Linked DNA regions of Tribolium castaneum. Each later gene encodes a partner of the first gene's protein in a complex. Links are inferred from orthologs where the notes say so. Each region holds a gene or a part of one and is shown in the gene's direction. Other genes may lie near its edges.

Region 1 (3,983 bases):
TCGAAACACGTACACGAAGCTGTACAACGAAAATGCCGAATCTCTTCTAGTTTTGTTGAGTAAATTTTATAGTTTATTTGAAGAATTGTTTTGTTTGATAACTGGTGTACACATTTGCTGGTCGTACTGTAAAATAAAAATACAACTAACTGTGGAACTCTTACTAACAAATTTCTCGTTTGTTACTAACGTTCGAGTCACGTGGCTCATTCTTTAGACTAGAATCTTTAGATTGTAGATTATGAAGCAAAATGTATTCCAGTAGTTGTTTAAAATGTATTGTTTGTGTTATTTTAGTTTTGTGCTTGTTATTGTGTAGTTGTTCGTTTTTATAGGGTTTGCCAATTTGGTAGTTTTCGACTTGTCTAAAAAAAATTCAATGTTTTAGCAATTAACATTACAAACATTTCACGGTTTGCAACCCGGCCAACAAGGTCATTTGCTTCTCAAGACTGAAAATGGACAGTATCAGCTGTTGAGGGTGGGACCACCCCCAGCCACTGCAAATCTCACAGCGACTTCGACTCCTGGAGGACAGCCAGTCACGTTGCGTATGCAAACGGTCGCTGCTGTAAGAATTACTTTTCCCGTGCATCACTTTGACAATAATTTTGGGGGATTTACAGGCGCCGACAAGTTCAGCAACTACCAGTCCAGCAGTAGCTGGTGGGACCACAACGGTCTCGAGTCAAGGTCAGACGGTACAGACTGTAACGACTGTTCAGGTTTGTAATCAATATTTTTGTTTTGTCATTTAATTTTTCATGTTTCTGTACAGAGACCGGCCAATGACAATACCAAAGAAAAGTGCCGTAAGTTCCTAGCAAACCTTCTAGAGTTATCAAGTAAAGAACCCAAGTCAGTTGAACGTAGCGTAAGGACACTTATTCAAGAGTTAATCGACATGAAAGTCGAACCAGAAGATTTTTGTGACAAACTGGAAAGATTGTTAAATGCATCGCCACAACCGTGCCTAATTGGGTTTCTAAAGGTGATTTCAAATTGTACTAAAATTGGTGGAAAAAGCTGTAATTGAAAGTCAATCTAGATTTTTATCACAGAATGTCAAATTTAATATAAAATCGATTGAGGAAATCCAGTTTTTGAATGTGTGATGAGGTTGATCTTTGCAATTTTTTTAAATAAAATGGGTACGTTTTTTAACGACAGAAAATATATTCCAGAAAAGCCTCCCTCTGCTACGTCACTCACTAGTAACGAAAGAACTGACGATAGATGGGATCCGTCCTCCGCCCGCCAATGTTGTTTTCTCAATAGCTAGCGGCTCTCCAACAGTGCAGACCCAAGTCCGACCGGGCATAGCTTCCAACCAAGTGCGAATAGTAGCCCCAGGTACTGCAGTTGTTAGACCAGGTCAGGTGCTCCAGCAACGGCTGGTAACCCCATTGCGGGGCGCCGCACAACAAACTCCCAGAATGATGACGACGATACGACAACCAAACGCAGCAGGAAATGTGATCGTTTCCAGTTCACAACCACCAGCCCTCCATCCTGTCTATCCCAGCAACCAGGTCAGAGCTGGTAGCAACATACGGCAACCCTTACAGGTAAATGACAACGTCAAACGCGCTCAAGTGTCATTCATTATTTGTTCCTGTAGAATAAATCCCCAATGACGTCGATGAAGCTCCAAGGAATCAAACCCGCAGTGCCTTCGATAGTTTCGCGACCTACCAGCAAAGAAAAGGAGAAAAAGTCATTCTCGGCGGCGTATACCGGCGATGACGATATCAACGATGTGGCCGCCATGGGAGGCGTTAATCTCGCTGAGGAAACCCAGAAAATTTTGGGGTCGACTGAATTCGTCGGCACTCAAATCAGATCCTGCAAAGAGGAAATCATGTGTTCAATGGGACCTTTACAACAGAAAATTAGACAGATTGTGATGAAGCACGGGCTTGACGAGCCGAGCGCTGATGTCGCAGCGTGTATTTCGCACGCGGCACAGGAAAGACTCAAAAATCTCATTGAAAAACTGGCCATCATCACCGGACACAGACTGGACATCGTCAAAAAGGACTTGCGATACGAAGTCACAAACGACGTCAAAGGTAAAGTTATGTTCATTCTGTTGAAAATAGCTGTTTTCAAACATAACTACGGAGACAATTTTCTGTACCCAAAAAAATGGTTACAAATTTAACTATAATTCCTACTCCAAGATAAAAAATAATAGGAACAACAGGTTATAATAATAGAAATTTCTTTGAACGTCTTTGAAGAGCTATAACACAACGAAGAGCACAAACTTTGTGGTCCTGGACTTAAGTTACCTCCAATTTTCTTCGAAAAATTTTGACTTGAGACTATAAATCTCAAGAATTGATGTAAAAATTTGTTTTCAGGTCAGCTGAAATTCTTGGAAGAGGTGGACAGGGCGGAGAGAAAAAGACACGAAGAGCTGGAGCGGGAGATGCTCCTGAGGGCGGCGAAAAGTCGGTCGAAAACGGAGGATCCTGAGCAAGCCAAGCTGAAAGCGAAGGCGAGGGAAATGCAGAGGGTGGAAATGGAGGAATTGAGGCAGAGGGAAGCAAATGCGACGGCTTTGCAGGCGATTGGACCGCGGAAAAAGCCGCGACTGGAGGGAGACGGGCAGTCGAGTTTATCACAAGTAAAACATTCGGTTTTGTTATTGTTCTATTTGTGATGTTTGTTTTTGAAGGGCAATGCCGGTGGATTCAACAGCGGACTGAGAGGACAGATGCCATTGAGACAGCGAATGAAGAAAGTGACGTTGAGGGACTTGCAGTTTCTGTTTGAAACTGAAAAAGACCTATGCAAAAGTAAACTTTTATACAAATCATATCTTAAGTGATGCTCGCCTCTCGTCAGTGTTGTGATATTCAGAGACGTCGTGGGTGCCCTAAATTTGTTTTTATTCTCATCTTCTGTTATTGTTATTTATTATGATTTTTCATTTTTAACCACTAAGGTCATGTAAACAATATTTTATCTTTTATCTAGCACATTTTTTTTATTTCTCATGAATAGCGTTATCCACTCCACTACTCTTGGTTAGCTTAAAGAACAAAATTGGTTTGCATTGTTTTCAGTATTGTTCAAAATTTCCAATGAAATGTTTTGTATCAAAACTTTCCAAACAGTTTTTATAATAAATGTCAAAAATACGTCTAGAGACTGCGCAATGCAAGCTTCATATTTTCCTACTTACAATTAGTCATGAAAAATTGTTTAACACATACTTTTTTGTTGTTAGTCTCAAATAACACGAAGTGAACAGATAAAGTATCGTAGGTTTTTCTACAGATATGTAAGGGTGTAAATATATTGTAGATTTTCTATAATGATGTGAGTTTTCTTTATAAGAAAATATTTTAAGAAGGTCATGTTAATAATTTGTAATTAGTTGTATAATTGTTTTTTAATCTAACTATGGATATAGATATATATATAATTTTTGTTATAGAAGTAATATTTAATATAATAAATTGATTATTTGATTCTAGTTTTGTTTATTGTAAATACGTGTGTGTTTACGCGTCATTTTTATAGCAATTATTTTGTAATAATAAATATCCATATCTATTTTTATTACTAAACATGTCTTCACTAGTAGTCACCAGGTTTTAGTTTGATTTTTGTATATACATAACGTTTGATTATTCTAATCCAAGTACATTTTCCATTTAATGGGTGCTCTGGATTTGTATATACAGTACTTAAGTTGTTTATGTTCAGTAGCTGATTGGCCTTATTATTGTCCCCTTTTAAAAAGTACAAATGCATTGTTTTGGGATTAAATAAATTGTTGTTTCATTTAAAATGAATGTTATCTTCTCTTATTAAAACCCTTTAGAACCAAAGTTGAAATAAAAATGAAAAAAATCAAGAGGGACTTATTAAAATAATATCATTTAAATCACGCATTGTTTCGTATGTAAGAGAATAAAAGATGTAGAACAACATACCATTTGCTGAAATGTGATCTTGGGCAATCCCAG
Region 2 (4,186 bases), about 30 Mb from region 1:
ATGCAAAAAATTATAGACAGTTCTCTCAACAACTGGAAAAACAGTTAATTAACCGACATGCAATGTCCATCACCTGATCGGTAATTTATTTAAAACGGTTCAAAACAAAGAACAATGCAACAACAAAAAACCGACCTCATCCCAAACATTTAAAACGCAACTTATTAAACCAAACATTAATTCATTCTGTGACGGAAATTAATTAAATTTGTTGTGTGGGTGTAAAAAATCAATATCAATTAACTCCGATTTATAATTAGTACAAAATGTCTCGTCCCATCTTATTGTTTTTTTTTTCTTTCACGAAAATTGCATCTGAAACCTTTCACATAAAGCTTTATAGATTTTCCCCTTTTCAGTAGCAATAACACTGACGTTTATTTCTACAGTCCCGACAAACTTTACGATTTTCGTTTTTCTTCTGCAATGTGCACTTAGCTCTCGTGCAATTTTACATCCCCAATTCCCACCGTACGAACTTTATGCACCTGCTGTAAATTTTCATCCCTTTTACACAGCTCCCACCAGTCTGTTTCTTTCATTTTTAATAAGTCTGGCGAGGGGCAATTCCGCTAATGGTAAGACTGTTTGATATACAAAAATCGAAAATAATCAAATATTTTTTTTGCTCTGCATCAACATCTATTATTACTACGTATCGCTACGTAGAAACAATCATCTTATTTACGAAAAGTTATACATAATACAAAAAAAAAATTGTACCTAACTCGCAATTCATGCAGCACTCGCTAGGCTCGTGCCGTAAATCACCAATATCCCACCTAACATTTTGTGCAGTTAATAGTAGTTTATTTGAAGTCTCACAAAAAAGAAATTTCGAAAGATAACTTGTATTATAAAGAAGTTGTGTGCTACAAATATGTCCCCAGGTCAAAGTTTGTAATTTTATTATTTTCTAAATTAATCAATAAATGTTTCATTTAATAACTGTTGTCATAAGCAGGGGTGGCCAAAATTAAGTAATAGATCTAAATAATTTTAAAAAAACTTTAGGTACTTGTGACCCTTGAAGTCCCCACAAATTGTAGCAAATAACTGAGCATTTTTTCAGGGAAATAATCTAAACGTGGAATCGCGACTCACCTTCTTGGTTTAGCGGGGTAATGGTGGTGGTTGAAGTGGGAGCCAGTGCAAGAAAATTGGGGCACAGCAAGCCCCATCCAACGCTCTAAGGCCCCCTGCGTGCAGTCGGCGAGCACCTGCGTGAAAAAATTCAAAATAGCCACAATTTCGTGCCTTTCCAAGCGTTCCCAGCTAACGGTTTCGCACACAATGCTGTGGACGCTTGGGTGATCAAGGGGGCTCCAGGCCCGATTTGACATTTTGACAGTTGTCATCCAGCAAACAAAAGCCACCAACTGGGATACTTACAACGTGATTTTGTTGCCAAATTCGTACGATTATCACACTAGAACATTGTCAAAAGCGGTTAATTGCGAATTAACTGGTCCCGCAATAAAACAACGAAAAAAAAGCGTTTTTGTGTCGTTCACCGCGACGAATCGACCCGACACGTTATCACAATTTTTATCACTGCGAATTGGGCCTCAAACTCGAGAGAAATTCATCGTTTCATTTACTTCGCCTTATTTTACACACAATAAACAAAATTATTGTCAAATATGAGTGTGATATATTGACTGGAATTTGACACTGGCGCCACCTCAGATTTGCACGGAACTACAGAACTACCAGTAGAGGGAGCAGCGATCGCTCATTTTTTCTGTCAAAATTAACACATAACCTTACTTCATTTCCAAAAAAATAAATAGATAATGTGAAAAAAAGACACAATGGACAACATTTTTGCGAAACCTCCAGCCTCCACGAGTCAAATCATCAAAGCTGACCCCAACTACGAGTCCATGGACGAAGACGACGACTCCACTGTGGAGACAGTCAAAGTCGAGGAGACCCAGCTCACGTCTGAAATTCACATCAAAGACGAAGAAAATGTGTACCTGGAGTCGGATATAATAATGCCGGAAGCCCCTCAAAGTAGCAGCGCTCCGGCTAAGAAGAAAGAGGTGAAGACTAGGAAGGAGATGGAGGAGGAAGAGCGCGAGAAAATGCAGTAAGTTGGTGTAAAGTGGGGTTTACTGAGGGTTTGTTGTAAGGGTTCTAGTCTCGAATTTCACCGAGGATCAGCTGGATCGATATGAGATGTACAGGAGGTCGGCGTTTCCCAAAGCTGCAATTAAAAGGCTGATGCAGACGATTACAGGGTGTTCTGTTTCCCAGAATGTGGTCATTGCTATGGCTGGGATTGCCAAGGTCTTTGTTGGAGAGGTTGTGGAGGAAGGTGAGGATAATTCAAAAAAATATTTTTTTTATTTTCTCTATTACACCAAAACTATTCGAAAATGTGGAATTATTTTGGTCTAAGCCTATGTAAAATGATCCGAGGAATCGATGGGCGCCGAGAAAATCTCCAAATTCCCAATAGTTTTTTAGTTATGATTTTTTTAAGTATTAACCAGACAGCTTTCCAATGAAATTACGTCTAATAGTTTAATTTTTTTTATTTTTGTGAAGATAAGTGCCTTGACCACTAAAATTATGGTAAATTTTAGTTGACAATTGAGACCATCAGCTCGAGATTGAAAATACATTCGGAAGCTCAAATAACGTGAAAATACGTATTAACAACTTTTTTCTACAGTTGCCACTGCTTAAAGCACTCTTTAAGCTGTAAATTTATTATTATTTTTTTGATTAATTCAAAAGAAGTCGATACGAAAAAGCTTACACACCTCTTTCCGGCAGTGGTGTCACTCTAAAAAATTAGTAAAACAGTCCAAAGACTTAGAAATGTCAAACTCTTTTTTTGTGTGCAAAAAAAATCAAACATGTAAGTATTTGTGTAATTAATTATTACGCTCGATAAGACTTTCTTTATGGAATAGTGGTCTAACGAACCATTGCACTGTGGACTATGTAAAAAGTAAAAAAAATAACTATGTAAAATTACAAAAAAGTTAATTCCCTATTTTTTTTAAAATGCCCTTTTGGTTTAGCGAAGAACAGGAAAAAAACATCAATTTGAAGAGTTATAAAAAATTGTCTTGGAGCCGTGCTTTGAAATTTTAGGTCGCAGTTAAACAAAAGTTCTAAGATTATAATTTTGAAAAAAATTTTTCTTTTCTGTGCCCTACTGTTACAATAAAAAACCGATAATAAATAATAAATTCAAGACAATTGGTCGCCTCTAACAATATTTTTAAATAGCAAACAGATATGAGTAAGGAAATGGCAGTAAAAAACAATAAATCATAAACTAGAAGATTTTTCTAAAAGCTTTTTTTGTTTTTGCCCATTTGCCTATTAAGTGCCAATTTTTAAGTTTTTTTAATTTTTGAGTTAAAAGTTGCAACGTCGTAAATTAAAAAAACAAACTTAAACAAACAATGTACAATATTTCTAAATGCCCTTCGTTTTCAGATCAATGATGAATCTATTTTTTTTGATAAAGTCTCAATTGACATATTTTTAAATACAGTACTACTAGAAAAATCATTCTTTGTCACTGTACAATCACATTTTTGCTCACTAATACTCATTTACGTAATTAAAAAATAACTAGGAGCATTGCCGATTTTATAACTCAAGTCGGAGGCAAAATCTATACGTTAAAGATATGAAAATGACATAATAATTATTCCCAATTGTTATCTATCTATCCTGTTACTTTTCACGTTTATTCTATTTAAAGTAATGAAGCCTTTTGCGTTACATTCTGTCAGTAAGGTTTCGTTATATCACGGAATTTATTCCGTTTTTTGCAATTTTCTTAAGATTTGAGTATTACTTAAGACTTGTATTAGGTAAATTTAATTAAACTTGCACAAATTCAGATTTTTATTCCTGTTTAATTTGATGCTTAACAATGTAAAATAAATAATAATTTAATTCGGATTAGTTTAATTTTTTATTACCAAAATTTCATTCACTTTCTGCAATGAAGTCTTACGACTTCTTATTAAATAAATGACACCCACTTTTGTTGTAATTAGTGAGTTTTAAACCACTTTGTTATTACTGTTACGAATAACTAACACAAAACTTACAATTGTTTTTTTAACGGATCCAAGACCACTTTTCAATTGTCGTTACGTGACATCAACTCTGAAATGTATTCTAATAACGAAAAAATGCACACAATTGT
Region 3 (2,463 bases), on another chromosome or scaffold:
TTTTTCTAAGTTTTCAGACCTGACCTGACTGTTGAGTTAACTTAGACTTTTTCTAAGTTTTTAGACCTGACCTGACCTGACTGTTGAGTTAACTTAGACTTTTTCTAAGTTTTCAGACCTGACTTGACCTGACTGTTGAATTAACATGGACTTTTTCTAACTCAGAGTTAACTCATTATTAAAATAACGGACTATAGAGGTTATAAAAAGTTATAAATAAATTCTAACTTACATTCTGTTTGAAATCAATAGGCTTTCCACGAGTTTTTTTGAAGTGAAATTTATTATGACTCATTTAAAAATGTTTTTTTTTTTAATATTCTTTTCTATGTTTTTTCTAATTGGTTTTGAAATATGAACTGTACATTATTTGTGCAGGTTTTTTAAAGCGTTCAGTTTTAATAAAACAACCTATACCGCACATATAATGTATTACTTAGCCAAATTTTTTCCTCTTAGGTCGTTCCTAATTGAGGAAAAATGCCGTTTCCTCTCAAACTTCACCCTTAAAACCGCCGAAGTGGAAATCCCCGGCGAATTTCTCCTCCCCAAACACAACCATTACTACGTTCGCATAACTCGTTTCATGCCTCGTGTTGACGTCGTCCAAAAACACAACGCCGCCGCCAGGCGTCTCTACATCCGTGGTCACAACGGAAAAATCTACCCTTATTTAGTTGTCAACGATTCGGGTCTAGTCGACGCACGTCGTGAAGAACGCGTCCTTCAACTTCTGCGCATGCTCAATCACTGTCTCGGCAAACAGAAAGAGACCGCACGACGTTTTCTCCACTTTACCGTACCGCGCGTTGTTGCCGTCTCGCAGCAAATCCGATTGGTCGAAGATAACCCCGCCTCCATCTCCCTATTGGACATTTTCAAAAAGGGGTGTGCCAAGCTAGGCATCGAGCACGACGATCCCATTCATTACTACTACGAACGCTTGGGTGGGGTGCAGAGTAGGGGAATCAAAGCGAGCCATCAATTGAGTAGGGATATTTTAAAAGGGGTGCAAACAAACATGGTACCAAGAACGTTGTTGAAACAATGGGCGGTCCAAACGTTCCCATCAGCCACCGATTATTGGCAGTTTCGGAAAATGTTCACATTGCAGTTGGCTTTGGCCTGCTTTGCCGAACATGTCTTGCACTTGACGAGACTTAATCCCGACATGATGTACTTGCATCAGGATTCGGGATTAATGAACGTGGCCTACTTTAAGTTTGATGTGGATGATGGGACGGGGGAGTTTGGGGCCACCAGATCGGTGCCCTTTCGGCTGACGCCGAATATTGTCGAGTATTTGTCGAGTATTGGGATTAGTGGGCCTTTGACAGCGTCCATGATTGCGACGGCGAGGTGTTTCGTTTATCCGAATTTTAAAGTAACGGCGATTTTGAAGCCGATTTTGAGAGATGAGATGGTTTTGTCGAGGATGAAGAAGCCGGAGGAAGTGGCAGGGAATAATACGGAGAAGTTGAGCGATAGCGAACAGATTATTAATATGGTCAATAAGGCAGTGACGTCGATCTCCAGTCGGTTGAACAGTTTGGCGCATTTTGACGGAGCTGATAGCAAGGTTAGTGGATACTTTTTTGTTAGTAGATTTTTTTTTCTAAATGAAATGAATTATATTGAAAAGACACGTAAAATAATATAATACTATTATAATAAAATTCCAATTTTTAGTCGTTATATACATATGTACGAAATTAATTGGTCTAAGCAGGACCTAAGTAACAGAAAAAAAAAATTTTGAGCGTAGGACACTTAGATATGATTGTGAGAATAACTATATTTTTCTAAAAATTTTTTTTAATAATGATGCTGGAAGTTTTTGGAAAATGCAGTTTTTACGAAATAAATTATATACAAAATAATTTGCGTGATCCAAGAGTGTATAATCGGTCTATAACTTTTTTGCTATTTGAAATATTGTCATTCTGTTTTTATTATTTGATAGATCTACTGAAATTCCACAAACTAAAAATATTTCTATTATGCCCAGGATGTATACAGAGTGATGAACCAAAGTTATATTTTTTTTAACGGAACACCCTATATATTTTTGCATAATTGGATTCTACGTAAAAAAATAATGTAACTTTATATAAACTATTATGGGTCTATCTTTTTTCGTTTCGGAATTATTCGACTTTTCGTTATAGAAAAGACCAATTTTTGAAAATTCACTGCAAAGTCGCTTATGAATATTTTCCGATAAATTTGCAACAGAAAAATTCAAAATACTTTGAAGTTTTAGGAAATTGTCGACTTTTACTTGAAACACGGAAATCATATACAGGGTGTGTCAAAACGCAAAAAGTTGAATAACTAATTTTTTTTAATGGAACACCATGTATTTCTTTAGACGTATCGATAGCATTTTTTATAAGCTTTCTATTGATATGCGGTTTATATTGCAAATTTACAATATTTTTTAAAGTGTTCCAAATATATTAA
Region 4 (3,962 bases), on another chromosome or scaffold:
ACGCTCACATTTATAATACTATAAATTTTTTATGGCTTTTTCGCCGCTGTCGATTATTTTCGACTGGATGCCTGACAGTTCGGGGCTATTTAACACCTTTGTTAATTCGCTTATCTTGCTAACTGTTGTTTACAAGTTCAAGTTCAGGCTGAATTTACGACATCTTGCATAATTTTCGCTTGTGACATTAACTTTGATAATTAGTTGGATTTTCTTGTCTTTTACCGCCTCAGGTATAACTTGATAAGAATCCAGAGTGGCCTTGGGCGGAATTCGGAAATCGAAAATACGCCTGTTTTGCAAAACTATTAATAAATATTATTGATTTAATAGTAATATCCTGTTTATAGAGAATTATTGTTTACGCCAGGAATCAGGATTCTGCTAAAGTGGCTTAATTACATTGTTAATTAAAATTCGATTGTTTTATTTGGATTGATTTAATGATAAAAAATATGATATTTATTGACGCAAACCGGAGACTGAATAGTAACGGCTGCAGGTAAAAGGTTATTGTTGCAATACCGTGACCTTGGGTAACGACTTTTACAGAAATTTAAATATTACAAAAATAAGTAACTCCGTTCCACCTTTAGACGCGTTAAATATTCGGTGATAACTAGACAGGTGTACTCACTGTTAAAAACCAAAAGTTTTCTCGTGGATCCCAGCCGTTTGATTGGTGATTTCAATTCTTGCTCATTTTCATCCATCCTTACAAAATAAGTAGCCGGTATATAAGAAACAAACTGGCGAATTCTAAAACCGTCTTCACACAAAAATAACTACTTTCACGTCCAAACGCAAGTTATGTTTTGTTGCTAACTCGGAAAAACATTTAATGAGAAGTGGTCATTTGAGACAATGTTGCCATTTCAAATCGGTGTGCACTAATTCGAATACGTTAATTCGTTACTGAGTGTTGTTGCGAACGCTACCACGAACAAAACGATTTGTACACTGTCTATTTGAACATAACATGCTACTCTCTACTCAAAATAGAATGCCGCTGTCGCTTGTAAACACACCAGCGACCAGCGCCATCTTTGGACCCGCCTCTACACTGCCCACTTGTAATGCCCAAACCGCCCACAAACATGGACGCCAGCGGTTAAGCGGTTAGTACCGTTTGCAACCCACTGTGCGCAACCAAATAAAAAATTATCGGTTCGGTTGGGTTAACAGATCGTCTCTCCTGCGTATTTATCGCTATTCTGAATATAGTTTGGCGTTTTTAAGCATTAAAAGCATGTCTGATGTCTGCCGTCTGTCAAGGTCACGGGTGTTGATACAAAATGGAAGTTTATTTGTATTAGGTGTTGGTGCACCCTTTTATAGAGCTTGTGTAGTCAAATAAATCGGCAAAATGTCTCGTAATTACACACGAGACCACCTTAAGATATCTGTAGCGAAAATTTTACAAACGCTAGGATGGAACTCGATAAATTCAACACCGTTGGAGATTTTAACCGACATTTTAGGGAATTACATGGGCCAGATTACCAGGAACACAAACAGCTACGCAAACGAATGTACGCAATTTGGAACTTAGGGGCAATGCTAATGTGTGGATTTCAGTTGGGTGCACCCAACCGAACTTGGACCACTTGGGTCTGACCTTTAGGGACATGGGGATCAGCGTCCCGGAGCTGGAGGAGTACGTGAGATATGTTAATTTTGCTGCGGCGCCAAGCGCTGTCCCCAAGTACCCCATACCCAAGGAAGACCATTTGAATTTTCTAAAACCAGGCAGCAAGGAGGTGGTCACCAGACCGGTCCACATACATGAACACCTACCCCCCATGAACCCACTTTTAGAAGGTATAACGCTTTTTTAATATTTGTACCTTAAATAATACATTTGCCATCGGAAATGTCTACAATTTAAGCTATTATACCAAAAAGATCATACCAGTCTACAAGAAAATGAGTGCTATAGACCAATAGATATTCAAATCACATTCACATTTTCTTTATTTTGAATAGCGTAGTTACAATAAATAATCGTATTTCTAGTCCTACCATTACAAATAAAGGTGTGCCACAGGGGTCTATTTTAGGGCCAATTCTTTTTTTATTATTATTTAGTATTATCAGAAATTTAAAACTTGTTTTTTTAGATAGACTATTTAATAATCTTTCAGAAGCAACAGCAAAAAATAGGGCGTTCCATTAACTTTTTCAAGTTATTCAACTTTTAACAAACTTATTAATTTCTCTACTTTTCTAATTGCAGTGCGCAAAACAATTGGTACAAATAAACATATAAACTTTTTCCTTTAAAGTGGTGAAATTCCTACTTCGCGTGTTTTTGTCAAAAAAATCAAATTATTTCAGCAAAATCGACCAGTACAAGTTTAGAACAAAATCATCAGTATTAAAAGCTACGTCCAAAAATGCAATAAAATTTAGGGTGTGCCATTTGAAAAAACATAACTTTAGTGTTTTTTTAATATTGGGACACCTGCATATACACCGGAATTTTTTTTTAAATGCAGCCATTTTAAAAAACAGTTAACGTCTCTAATAGTGAACAATTAATAATTATTATTATTATTATAGGTAATAGAAATGAATTAGAAGCGATCAATTGTAAAGTTGAGGAACTGGAAGACACCAACCCTGAAAATTCCCAAGTTTTTAAAAAACCGGCCGACATATCACCTTCAGAGTTCAAACGGCCTAGGTATTATCTATTTCCAAATTCACAATAAGGCTGTCTTAGTTTCCGCAGAGAAGAAGAAGGCAGTCGGCCGACAAGAGAAATAAGCAGTGTGATGATGACAACTTCTGGGTTTCTATCCCCAGCGCGAGAAGGCAAATTACCTGAATCCAGAACCCCAATTTCGTCCATAGACCCAATGGGTCCCGTAAACCCACCCCAGGAAACCATCGATCTGAATAAAAAACCGACGAAAGTCGTCAAAAAAGTTGAGAAAAAGAAATTCAAGCAGGAAGGAAACACGGACCCGGCTCTAGCGGGCAAAAACAGAATCAACTCAATGAAGTGTATACTGAAATCGAAGCAACAACAGAAAGCGCCCAACAAGGTCCTCAACCCCCTGGCACACGACATCTCCCAGCTGCAGAACAAAGCAAACCAAGCCGCTAAGATCAGCAAAACCTTGGCTGCAGCCCGGCTTAAAACGGAGAAACTCAACACTACGATCACCCCCATTCCCATGCGGCCCAACAGCCCCCAAGTCTTCCCACCTGAGCACGACAACGTCGACAAACTCTTCACGGAGCCCGACAAGAAAAAAGTCAACATATTTAAGAAAATATCAAACGTGAAGAACGAAAAAACCGACGTTAAAATAAAAAAAGACGATATTAAACAAGAATCGAGGGAAAGCTCCCCCGACTTGATAATCGACGAACCGGACGAAGTCCTCCCCAAATTCACCCACTTATCAAGCGACGTGACCATCGAACCCATCAATTCCTCGGCCCAGAAAAGCCCAGAAAAGATGGACACGCCCTACTTTGACGATGACTCCCAACCGGGGACTCCCTCAACCCCCAAAACCCCCGAAATGATCTCACACAGCCCGCCAATAGTCAAGGAAAAACGCAAGCGGAAAGACAGCAAGAAGATAAAGAGAGTAACGGAGCTTCGCAACAATTTGTATTCCCACTAAGGTTGTTTTTCAGATTCAGAAAAACCAAAGTCCGCATCGGCTAGACAACGATACGATGGACATGGACATGGAGCGGCCCAAAACACCGGAAGCCCAAGTGTTACCCAAAATGGAGTTTCCGCCAACTGTGCCCGTTCCCATCCCCAACCACGCGCCCCTGGCCCCCATCCCCTTCCCCTTCAACTTTGGAGGTAAATTCGCGTGTTACGATTCTATGATATTTTTTTTTTCGTTTCCGAAAATAGTGAACGGTTTTTTCTTTATCCTAGTTTTGCTTTTCAATTCTAGGTCCGGGATTGATACCAACGCCTTTGGCGAACC
Region 5 (4,154 bases), on another chromosome or scaffold:
CGAAATTATTTTTGCCATCAACTGCGAATGGGTTCTGAGCGTGAGCAGGGATAAAGTGTTTTCGTACAATTGCACACAAACCGGCCGCAACATTGGGACTTACACGGCTGAGGCCTGGTGCACCTCTCTACAGTACTAATTTTTTGCGGAAAATTTTCGAGTCATGTCTTTAATTTTTGCAGATTTGATGCACAAACCAAACATGCGTTTGTTGGGGATTATTCTGGTCAAATAACTATGTTAAAATTGGATAATGCGGGCCCTAGTGTTATCACAACTTTGAAGGGGCACTCGGGCTCTGTTAGGTCACTGGCTTGGGACAGCGAGCGGCAGATGTTATTTAGTGGCTCCTACGACCAAACTGTTATCGTTTGGGACATAGGGGGGCAACAGGGCAACGCCTACGAGCTGCAAGGTCACCACAACAAGGTAAACATTGTTTATTACAACCGCAGTTGGATTTTTTCCGAAGCAAAGATAATTGTTTATTGGTTACGTAGGTCAAGGTTTGTTTTTTGTTGGCGATCGGCATTTGAAATTAAATTGGCAACAGTGCCAAAAATTACCAAAATTGTGGAAACAAGTGAATGTGATATTACAGGTCTCTGCTTTGTGCTACCTTAACTCGACCAAACAATTGGTCAGCGCGGGCGAGGACGGGGTGCTGGTCTTCTGGGACATGAACCAAACGCGTCAGGAGACTCCCGAGTGGATCGAGTCCGATTTATGTCAGTTGTGTGGAAGACCGTTCTTTTGGAACTTCCGAGCCATGATGGACCAGCGACAGTTGGGTTTACGGCAACACCACTGCAGACATTGCGGGAAAGCAGTTTGCGAGAAATGTTCCACAGGTAGATTAACAATTCCAGCGATGGGTTTCGAGTTCGCAGTGCGTGTCTGTGACCCTTGTCACCACTTGTTAAGGGATAGAGAGTGAGTTGCAAGTGGTGAAGTTATGTCTTGCTAAAGTTTTTTACAGGAGGGTGTCTTTAGCCACATTCCATGATGCTAAGCATAGTATTACAGCGATGGGATTGGACGAGACTCGCAAAAAATTGGTAACAGTCGGACAGGACCGGCTAATCAAAATTTGGGACATTTCCGCTTTGCTTTGAATCCGACTGGTTTAGTTACTAACGCTGGAATGTGATTCACACTCAATTAATTAATGTGCTATGATTTATTACATTATGTAAAATTTAAATATTATTAATGTTATATTTATATTCTATAAGTTCTATTGAAAATAAATCTATTATAATCACAGAATTGCGCCTCATTTGTGCTATTTTTGAACCCAAGTGTGCGAACAAGTGACATGATTCCATGAACGGATGGTAATCTGTGGTGACGTCAAATTTACAGGAACCTGCTTTCGGTCCGATTGTTGTCAGTTTTTTTCGAACAAACAATTGTTCGTTGTGATTTTTTCTCCCCCACACGATTAAATCAATTAAGTGCACTCTTCTTCATGATCCTTTAATACTTTGGTTCTTTAATGTTGTTGTTATGCGGCATGTGTTGGTGTTTTCGTCGTGCGTGCCACTCGAGTTGGCACCACTGGTAAACAAAACAAGCGCATATGCCAATTTTTGGCCCCCTTTTTGCCTTGAAAAATGTCCAAAAACGCTGAAAATGACTTATACGGAACGAATTTATCCGTCGAATCTATGAAGGTAATAGCCGAAAGCATCGGAATTGGAAATTTGCCCGACGACGCTGCAAAGGAACTAGCTGAAGACATCTCATTTAAACTGAAACACATCATTCAAGACGCTGCGAAGTTCGTCCACCATGCCAAACGAACAAAACTGATGCAGAGCGACATTGACGCAGCCCTCAAAGCCAAAAACTTGGAGGTATGTGGGCTTTTTGGTTATTTAACCTCATTGTGTCTTACAGCCCCAGTACGGTTTCCAATCGGCCGAAGGCCTCCCGTTCCGTTTTGCATCAGGCGGCGGACGTGAGCTTCATTTTATTGAGGAGAAGGAGGTGGTTTTGAACGATTTGTTGCAAAATTTGAACGCCAAAGCACCACTTGAGGTGTCTTTGAGGTCCCATTGGTTGTGCATCGATGGGGTGCAGCCCACAATACCCGAAAATCCGCCACCGGTGGCCAAAAACATACAAAAAGTAAAGTTTGCGTTGTTATCGCCACTGGTTCGTTTTTATTGGTTTGGGTTGTAGTTGGAGTCGGTTGATCCTATTAATAAAAAACCAAACAAGGAAACATCAGGGAAACCCACAACTGGAAAACAGAAATTACGAAATGTGGAAACTGTGCAAATTAAACAATTGGCCACGCATGAATTATCAGTGGAGCAACAGTTGTATTATAAGGAAATTACCGAGGCTTGTGTGGGGTCAGATGAGGCACGGAGGGCCGAGGCTTTACAAAGTCTAGCCTCCGATCCAGGGCTTCACGAAATGTTGCCCCGCATGTGCACTTTTATCATAGAGGGGGTCAGGGTGAACGTTGTACAAAATAATTTAGCGCTTCTTATTTATCTAATGAGGATGGTTAAGGCTCTCTTAGACAACCAATCGTTGTACCTCGAAAAATATGTAAGTATAGTATGGACCAAGAAAACATTTTTTCGCTCATTTTACAAAATTATGTTTTGCTTGATTTTTAAAAGTTCGTATAAGTAGCTATAATTTGTTGTTTAATTACAGTTACACGAATTAATTCCGTCGGTAACAACCTGTATTGTCTCGAAACAACTGTGCATGCGCCCCGAGCTGGACAACCATTGGGCGCTTCGCGACTTCGCCTCACGTCTCATGTCCCAAATTTGTAAAAACTTCAACACTAGCACGAACAACATCCAGACCAGAATTACCCGAATGTTTACAAATGCGCTCCAACAGGGCGATAAAGTCCCACTTTCGTCCCTTTACGGTGCCCTTGAGGGGCTTTCAGAGCTAGGGGCGGAAGTAATCAGAATTTTTATATTACCGCGATTAAAATCAATCGGAGCCCGAATTGAAATGCACCTTCAAGGACCAACTACTTCCAATATTGATAAAATCGCCTCGGAACATATTAAGCAATTGCTAATTAAAGTTGTGGCTCCCGTATTGAAAAATTTGAAAAATCCACCTGATTATGTAGAGGAGTATAAGCAAGAGTTTGGGTATTTGGGGCCCGCGTTACACGCAGCTGTGGTGAAAGCAAGGACACAACCGACGCCTTCGACAACAACGGCCTGCAATATTTCGACGTCGTTGACGAACGTGGGGGCCACTATTACGAGGACTGTGAGCCAGCCCTGCCAGATTATACAACAGGTAAGTGCATTAAAAAGTTTCAAAATGTGCTTCAAACGATTGACCTGAAATCCCAATAATTCCTGTAATTCCCACCTAATTTTTTTTTGTTTTCGTTGCTATAAGAAATTCAACGCAATATCTATTATCAATATTCTGATTCCAAATAGATTTGCACTAATTCTAAAAACAATTCCATAAATCCCAAAGGAAATTTTAATAATCCTTATTCGTCCAAGCGATTTTGATTAAGTTCCAAAAAAGTGTACACCCAGGACCAAAATAAGTGGCATCCCAATTCGTTCATACCCGTACGTACAAAACCGTAGAAAAAACGACGTCTAACCGCACCTTAACCTCTGGCATAAATCTTTTCGGTCATAAAATTAACAATTAACATAATTTGAATACTTCATTTAGCGATTCCACTATTAAAAATCGCTAAATATTTATTACAAATTTTTTTGAATTAATAAAATGTTTTACAAATTAGAAATGTTTTAGCTATTTTTTAGCCATTAAAGTAGGTTGTAGAGGTTTTACTGTATTATATTATTAAACATATTACTGTATATGTTTGCAATAAATATTTAGCAGTTTTTGGAAGCCGGTAAAAGAACTGTTCAAGAAATGTTATTTTTATGAACGAAAAAATTAAATTCCAATTCCAAGAAACCCACCAAAATTCCAGTAATTATAATTACTTGGGGTGTTTAATAAAATAAACGTGAAAGTGGATGTGCAGTTGGTTTTTTATTGCCGCAGAACACCGGCCCTCAGCGCACGATCGTAATGAACCAATCAGGGCGAGTCGCTAACCAGATAAACAACCAAAAAATCTTATTTGTGACACAACGTCCTCCAACCCCGGGAGGTTCCGTTCA
Region 6 (3,120 bases), about 22 Mb from region 1:
TATATGTATTTTAACTATTTACGTAAACATTAATCTGCTTTTTAGTAATGTAATATCTATTCCGGTTTTTGTCTCTCAAAGTTAGTTGTTATTAATTTATTATTCATGCACTTCAATAACTTAATAGCTAATGTAATTTGGAGTTCCAGTGACAGATACAGATCTAATAATAATAATTAACAACTTGGTATTTTACATTTTTATAAACGTTATTTAAAAAAAATATTCAGTAAATTGCTTTATTGGCATTTTATTGAGTTGGAATGACAAGTATCTAATCTAGGTACAAAAAAATCAAAAAACATCTCATTGTTTTTTGTTGGTTTAAGATCATTGTTTGATGTATTATGTTTATTTGAATGTTTTTAAGATGTACAACTTATAATAAATAATTGATGCTGATTATATACAAGAGTTATTAATATTATACAAGACGATAAAAAGATTGTTTATGTACAAGTGGAAAAGTTTAGTTTAAGGGTGACGAAGTCACGAGTAAACTTATTCCATAAATTACAACAGCGCATTTGAATTTTCCGGAGTGAGAAATAAAGCACAAATTGAGAGTTTCGGTAAAGGAAAAGAATTCTGTGTTAAACTAAATCCCAGCGACACGTTTCGAGCTAAGAAAGCCAACCAGAAACTCCAAAAATTACAAATGCGCTGTTGCAAAATTCTATTATGAATTGAAATGAGATATAGAAAAAATGCATTTTCAAATAAATTAAATCAAACAAAACAAAGTTTTTCGGATTTTTATAGACGCCAATCCGAAACTTATTCAGAATCCGAAATCAAGTAACTAAAATTAATATTGAACAGAACACGCCACTTTCTAGCCCTCAGTGAAATAACAAAATTTTTAATTCCAAAATATTTAACGACTTGGCCATTATTTTGTAAAATCATACTGTTAGGTAAAAAGTTATTTACTGTCCCGCCAAATTCAATGTGGCCACTTACAAACAATTAAAGAAACACTGTCAGACAATAAATATTTCAAATATTTCAAGAAAAAACAGATAAATGATAAATAACCTACGCCACTGACTTAAAGTCTTAGCATGCAGCGCCACCAGTACTCCACTTCCCCCAACCAACAGATACACCCACGGCCGATAAATCAGAAAACCACTTAGCATACCTAACCTCCACAACTCACAAACATAACCTCAACCGTCAACAAATAAAAGTTTGTCATTTTTAGCAATTAAAATATGGTGTTGTTACATTTACATTAAGTTTAAAATTCGTGTCAAATCCACTTTTGTATTAATTTAAGCCCCAATTATTGAAAAAAAAAAAATGTACAAAGGGGGCCACGAACCCGATTCACCTGCAGAACTCGAATGCCAGTTCATTTTACGTCTACCGGAAGAACCAGCCCGTGTCCTTCGCGAAGCCATCCGAAACAACAGCACCCTCAAAGACAGGGTGGCCATCAAAATAGAAAATGACATGCGACATGGTGAAGTCCGAATCGACCACTGGCTTTTACCAGCTAAAGTTATGGACCTTCCCACTATTATCGAGTCCCTTAAAACTATTGATTCGAAAGGTTTCTACAAAACAGCCGATATTTGCCAAATGCTCATATGTAAGGAAGAGGACGACCAAACGACTACTGATGAAGAGTCCCCACAAAAGTCGAAACGTAAAGACCCCAACAAAGTGGAGAAAAAATATCTGATGCCACACGGGATCACACCACCGACGAAAAACGTAAGGAAGCGACGATTCCGCAAGACTTTGAAGAAGAAATACGTGGAAGCCCCCGAAATAGAGAAGGAAGTCAAAAGATTGTTAAGGATAGACAATGATGCAGTTAGTGTTAAATGGGAGGTTATCAACGAAGACGACGAAAACAAAGTCAACAAAGGCACCGTGGTGAAGAAGGAACCTGCAGAAGCCCCCAATCAGAACGTGGCCGAACATGATATTTTCGGGGGGGCTGTGAGTGACTCAGAGGAGGAGGACGCCCACCTTAACGTATTGGAACTGGACGACAATAGTCAGAACTCGGCCGAAGACAGCCACCTGACTGACTCCAACTCAATGATGATCAATACCGCAAACTCAAAATTGTTGACAGAATTCACCAGTGATATGTTCAACGAAATGCAAAATTCCCCCTCTTTGATGCAAGAAATGGACTATTATCAGCAGTCATCCAGCAATATTTCCTACACAGAGCAGAATTTGAGTAAGAGTAATATTTTGGCGAGGCTTGAAGAGCTGCAGTTGGAGTTGGATAATTTGAAAATGAGGAGGCAACACCAGGAAATGGAAATTGAAAATATTGAGAATTTGGCGCTGAGACAACGCTTTCAGAATATTTTGGATAGGCTTCTGCAGGAGCAAATCGAGAAGGAACAGGAGAAATACGGGTTGGAGGAGCTTCTGAAGCAGCACCCAGAGTAGTATTGGAGTGGTTAAAAAATCGTATTTTGTAATTTTAGGTCCAAAAAGGGGTTATAGTGAAGTGTTTCTTGTAAGCGTATCAATGTTAGATTAATTAAAAAATCTGTTTTATTCGATTTTAATTGTGTAAATTTCTATAGATAATTATTTTTTATGAATAGGGCACAATTTAGAAAATAAACAACTTTATCGGCAAAAACTATACTTATTTTTAGTTTGTATTAGTCTCCATCATCAAGTCTATTTCAGGGACACTCATTATATCCCATTTCAGTTCATAGTAGAATTGCAACAGCGCATTTGATTTTTTGGAGTGAAAATAAAGCACAAATTGAGAATTTCTGTATAAGAAAAAAAATTCTGAGTTAAACCAAATTCCAGCGCCACACTTTGAGCTAAGAAAACCTAGCAGAAGCTCTCAATTTATGCTCCATTTCACTCAAAAAATTGCAAATGCGTTGTTGCAAAATTCTACTACGATCTGAAATGAGATATACATTTTTTTATTGCAAATCATAAAGTAAAATAACACGTTTCCTTATTTACCAGTATATAACAAGAAAATAAGTAAATTATTTAATAAATCATACTAATGCTCATTGCATTTTTAATCTGAGTTCAGCCTCAATTATAAAGACTCGTAAAGAAAAACTATCAATATTTATTTCAAAATTATAAAAAAAAACGGCAATAGTGTAT
Region 7 (3,579 bases), on another chromosome or scaffold:
GCTCTGCAATGATTCCTCTATCGACTTTTCTCGATTTGTATGAGTTTTTAGCACGAATTGATGCTTCGTTGCCACAAACTTTGAAAAATTACTATTTTTTGGATAAGTTTCTCGAATTGTTTCGCGAGAAAATTGCCAAAGATTCAGGGGAAAAACCGGTGGAAGAGGAACTCGAAACGGATTTTATGAGCGAGATTGTGTCCGAAGTGACGGAAAAAAGTGAAAGGGAGACGAAAAAAGACGATGAGGGTTCGGTTGTTTCGTGTCCAAGTGTCACAAGTCAGGATCCGGACAACTACATGAAATTGTTGATGAAAATACGAGCCGAAGGCGAATTTGAAGAAAGCAACGAAGAAATAAAGGAAGAAACAGAAGAAAAGACGGAACCTGTTGATGAAGAAGTGAAAGAAGAAGAAGTTGAAGAACGTAAAGAATCGGTCGCTGTTTCCGAAAAAAAATTTCCGGAACAGTTGGCTGAAGACGAAAAAATTCCGCAATTTCCGGTTGAAGATGACCTTGTTTCGAAAAGTACGCGAATGTCATCAGCACCGAGTGAATCATTGAAGAAAGATGAAGAGGATTTGAAACAAGACACTTATCTTATGGAAGATTTGGCAAGACTTCGGGTAATTCACCGACTAGTCTACTAGGTTTTTCCCCGAAATAAATTCGGGTTTAGTCATTACAGGAAGCCATGATGGGTGAAAGTGACGACGAAGTTGAGAAATTCAAAGCTAGTATTTTAGCTGAAGCTGGTTTAACTCAATCACAAATTGATGCACCTGAACATTTTGAAACACGAATTGAGAGTGAAATTTTCACTAATGAGTCACTTAAAAGTTACGAAACGTCGACAAGTGAACCGTCCGTCAAGGAAAAAGCGCCAGAAGTAGAAAAAAAAAGTGGGAAATTTTTTTTTATAATTGTTTTAGATTGAGTATGAGGATGTGTTCGTGGATCCAGTTCCAGGAATCGGGCCGAAAGTCCCCGAAAATTTAATTTTGGCCGTTTGTAATTACATGAAAGATGTGGCCAAGTGGCAACATGACATGGTTATGCCGAGGAATATACGGCATTTTGATCGCCCGCCTTTAGAAATTCGAAATCAATAAAAATTTTGCACCGTTTTTTTTTTGATACATGGTACTGCCCAAATCTTAATCATATTTAATCACGTTTCAGTGCGTCCAGTAATCAATTAATAATTATTTGTGCCTCCAGGTGTATCTACTTGATTAGTAAATAAAGCCCTACGTTTCGGAAACACGTATTAAATTTTCCCCCTTTATGTTCGATTTAGTTTACAGTTTCCTGTAATTCAAGTGTCAATTTTTATGTATCGATTGTCAACAAACAACAAAATTGTGTGAAATTGGCTAAAATAACATTGATGATTAACATTTTGCATGTTCTTTGTGCCTAAAGCGTGATATGAACAACCCCAAACGCCACCTCATGTCAAAAAACGCCCCCCGAGGGGGCAAAGCGAAAGACGCCCCCTCGTCCTCCCGTCACGACTCCATCCCTCCTGACACCGAAAACTTCATAAACACCGTCCCTTTGATCCGTCAATGCGACAACACGAAGCTTTTGCCCCGTTTTTCATCCAGTAATCAACCCTAACCTAACGTTTTGCCCCTTTTGATTAATGAGCAAGTTTTTAGTTTTGGGGCGCACCGAAGACGATGGAGTGAACATGGACGACCTTGATCAACTTCAACTCGACCTTGAGAAGTTAATTTCGACGTGTGCTGTGCGTAACCGGTTTTTAAGGGGCGAAATCGAATCGATTGATCGAGTTGAGGAAAAAAGAGACAAAAAGGGCAAATCGTATGATAAAGGGGGGCTCAAACGGAAACGGCCCGATGATAAGGCCAAGTATCGTGATTTGAAAGGGGGCGCACGCCCCCTGAAACGTCATTATCCACTTCCGGTGGATGTGCCCTTGAGGCATGAAATGCCCAAAATTAATTTACCCAAGAATGATACTTCGGATAAGTTTTGGGCGACTGTGGAGCCCTATTGCGCCCCCGTTACGAATTCACACGCTACGGTTGATTGATTTTTTCAATTTTATAATTATGTATTAACAAAAAAAATTTTAGTTCCTCGATAAATTAATCGAGGAATGTTCGCAAGAAATTGATGTAAAAATACCCGATTTGGGCGAATATTACGCCAATGAGTGGTCAGATAATGCAACCGGAGTGGAACAAGAATTGGGGCTAACCTCTAAAACAGTTGGCCTTGATTTGAAAAAGAACGGTTTGAGTGCGTAAGTATTTTTTATCAAGTCATAAAGTTCAAAAAAATTTACAATCAATCAATAGAATGGTTGATTCATTTTCAAACCCGAAAACTCAACGCCTATTGGCCGCCTTGATTGAGGAGAAAGTGATGACGTCATTTCCGGGTGTTACTGGGAAACTCAAACGTAATAAAATCACATTTGTCGTAACTTCAAACTCATTTAATTCACTTTTAAAGCGTCCGATTTGAATATAATCAAGTCAGCTGGTGGTCCACGTGCTGCCATATGTATGGATCGCCGCCTTAAGAAAGATTTAGTCGAACAAGGATTATTAAGTGTTGAGGATTTATCTAAAACAATGCCCGACGATGAGATTTTACAAGAAATAAAAAAATGTCAACAAGAATTGACAGCTGTCAATGAGTATAATGTTGAGGAATTGAAACGTTTGAAAGCTATAGTTGTCAAAGATTTGAAACGGCAAGAAATCAAAGCAGCTCTGGATGTAGTAGATGGCGAAGTTTGTTGATTGGTGTTACCATGGTAACAAAATTAAAACACCTAAAATTTCAGGTTTTGGAAGTTTATAATAAGGTGTTAATGACCAAACAGAAGCAAATCCAGCAGGCCAAGGATGAAGATTTCGATAAAGCCGCCTTTACAAAAAGTTTGAAAGAATTTGAAGTGAAGACACATGTCTTGTTGGAAACGCAGTTTAAGTTTCAGAAAGCTTTGGCGGAATTGCAGGAATAAAAAAAACACCAGTTTTAAGTCTTACATTATTATTATTATTATTTTTGACACATTAATTTACAAATTAGTCTGGTATTTGGTGTTTAGAGTTGTTTTCTTTTTCCTCAATTGTCTAATTAACACTCCTAATTAAATAATTGAAAAACACCGATAAATCAATTTGTACTTGGGAGAGATATTCATCAAAAAATGCTTTTTTCGTTTCGTTTGGTTGGTAAAAAATCACTCTTTTGAATATTCAAATTGGCACCACTGGTGGTATATGAAACGAATGAGTCAATAGTGCCAACCTGACAATCACAATTGTGCGATGAGATGAACTTAACCTATAAAAAAAGTATATTGCGAACATGAATACTACCAACGGCTAAAATTGATTTTCCCTAAATATTTATATAAAAAACAAATCGTAATAAATATGACGCAACAGAACAACAACAAAAAAAATATATCGCTTAATCCTACAAAATTATCACATTTACATTCTATACAAATGATTATCATCATGGATTTTTTTGTCCTGAAATTTTGATTACTATTACATTGTGTCAACATACAAATTCAATACGCGATGT

Evidence for each region.
Region 2: Taf4 (region 1) and Taf11 share a complex: the UniProt entries of both Homo sapiens proteins name them as parts of the TFIID basal transcription factor complex. The link is inferred for Tribolium castaneum from reciprocal best matches to the Homo sapiens genes TAF4 and TAF11.
Region 3: Taf4 (region 1) and Nipped-A share a complex: the UniProt entries of both Homo sapiens proteins name them as parts of the TFTC-HAT complex. The link is inferred for Tribolium castaneum from reciprocal best matches to the Homo sapiens genes TAF4 and TRRAP.
Region 4: Taf4 (region 1) and Taf3 share a complex: the UniProt entries of both Homo sapiens proteins name them as parts of the TFIID basal transcription factor complex. The link is inferred for Tribolium castaneum from reciprocal best matches to the Homo sapiens genes TAF4 and TAF3.
Region 5: Taf4 (region 1) and Taf6 share a complex: the UniProt entries of both Homo sapiens proteins name them as parts of the TFIID basal transcription factor complex. The link is inferred for Tribolium castaneum from reciprocal best matches to the Homo sapiens genes TAF4 and TAF6.
Region 6: Taf4 (region 1) and Taf7 share a complex: the UniProt entries of both Homo sapiens proteins name them as parts of the TFIID basal transcription factor complex. The link is inferred for Tribolium castaneum from reciprocal best matches to the Homo sapiens genes TAF4 and TAF7.
Region 7: Taf4 (region 1) and Ada3 share a complex: the UniProt entries of both Homo sapiens proteins name them as parts of the TFTC-HAT complex. The link is inferred for Tribolium castaneum from reciprocal best matches to the Homo sapiens genes TAF4 and TADA3.

Annotation. Positions count from the first base shown.
Region 1 is NC_087394.1:35,635,859-35,639,841, reverse strand, and holds the end of Taf4 (transcription initiation factor TFIID subunit 4), read left to right. Parts: intron 1-388; coding exon 389-571; intron 572-626; coding exon 627-725; intron 726-778; coding exon 779-991; intron 992-1,184; coding exon 1,185-1,568; intron 1,569-1,621; coding exon 1,622-2,072; intron 2,073-2,366; coding exon 2,367-2,632; intron 2,633-2,683; coding exon 2,684-2,836; 3' UTR 2,837-3,483; downstream 3,484-3,983. UniProt on the Homo sapiens protein: The TFIID basal transcription factor complex plays a major role in the initiation of RNA polymerase II (Pol II)-dependent transcription.
Region 2 is NC_087394.1:5,383,824-5,388,009, reverse strand, and holds the start of Taf11 (transcription initiation factor TFIID subunit 11), read left to right. Parts: upstream 1-1,386; 5' UTR 1,387-1,814; coding exon 1,815-2,095; intron 2,096-2,138; coding exon 2,139-2,323; intron 2,324-4,186. UniProt on the Homo sapiens protein: The TFIID basal transcription factor complex plays a major role in the initiation of RNA polymerase II (Pol II)-dependent transcription.
Region 3 is NC_087401.1:16,675,661-16,678,123, reverse strand, and holds part of Nipped-A (transcription-associated protein 1), read left to right. Parts: intron 1-459; coding exon 460-1,579; intron 1,580-2,463. UniProt on the Homo sapiens protein: Adapter protein, which is found in various multiprotein chromatin complexes with histone acetyltransferase activity (HAT), which gives a specific tag for epigenetic transcription activation.
Region 4 is NC_087403.1:4,012,974-4,016,935, forward strand, and holds the start of Taf3 (transcription initiation factor TFIID subunit 3), read left to right. Parts: upstream 1-1,162; 5' UTR 1,163-1,366; coding exon 1,367-1,532; intron 1,533-1,578; coding exon 1,579-1,821; intron 1,822-2,562; coding exon 2,563-2,686; intron 2,687-2,725; coding exon 2,726-3,605; intron 3,606-3,654; coding exon 3,655-3,832; intron 3,833-3,929; coding exon 3,930-3,962. Other genes in the region: SLIT-ROBO Rho GTPase-activating protein 1, read right to left, coding at 638-713. UniProt on the Homo sapiens protein: The TFIID basal transcription factor complex plays a major role in the initiation of RNA polymerase II (Pol II)-dependent transcription.
Region 5 is NC_087398.1:814,707-818,860, forward strand, and holds the start of Taf6 (transcription initiation factor TFIID subunit 6), read left to right. Parts: upstream 1-1,354; 5' UTR 1,355-1,616; coding exon 1,617-1,859; intron 1,860-1,902; coding exon 1,903-2,133; intron 2,134-2,187; coding exon 2,188-2,565; intron 2,566-2,676; coding exon 2,677-3,291; intron 3,292-4,035; coding exon 4,036-4,154. Other genes in the region: Wdfy2 (WD repeat and FYVE domain-containing protein 2), read left to right, coding at 1-132, 183-429, 602-933, 980-1,115. UniProt on the Homo sapiens protein: The TFIID basal transcription factor complex plays a major role in the initiation of RNA polymerase II (Pol II)-dependent transcription.
Region 6 is NC_087394.1:13,420,491-13,423,610, reverse strand, and holds Taf7 (transcription initiation factor TFIID subunit 7), read left to right. Parts: upstream 1-1,131; 5' UTR 1,132-1,305; coding exon 1,306-2,421; 3' UTR 2,422-2,620; downstream 2,621-3,120. UniProt on the Homo sapiens protein: The TFIID basal transcription factor complex plays a major role in the initiation of RNA polymerase II (Pol II)-dependent transcription.
Region 7 is NC_087401.1:17,517,304-17,520,882, forward strand, and holds Ada3 (transcriptional adapter 3), read left to right. Parts: upstream 1-1,277; 5' UTR 1,278-1,431; coding exon 1,432-1,609; intron 1,610-1,664; coding exon 1,665-2,053; intron 2,054-2,105; coding exon 2,106-2,275; intron 2,276-2,330; coding exon 2,331-2,434; intron 2,435-2,487; coding exon 2,488-2,771; intron 2,772-2,824; coding exon 2,825-3,004; 3' UTR 3,005-3,079; downstream 3,080-3,579. Other genes in the region: uncharacterized protein LOC103313297, read left to right, coding at 1-626, 680-889, 933-1,112; uncharacterized protein LOC656520, read right to left, coding at 3,543-3,579. UniProt on the Homo sapiens protein: Functions as a component of the PCAF complex. The PCAF complex is capable of efficiently acetylating histones in a nucleosomal context. The PCAF complex could be considered as the human version of the yeast SAGA complex.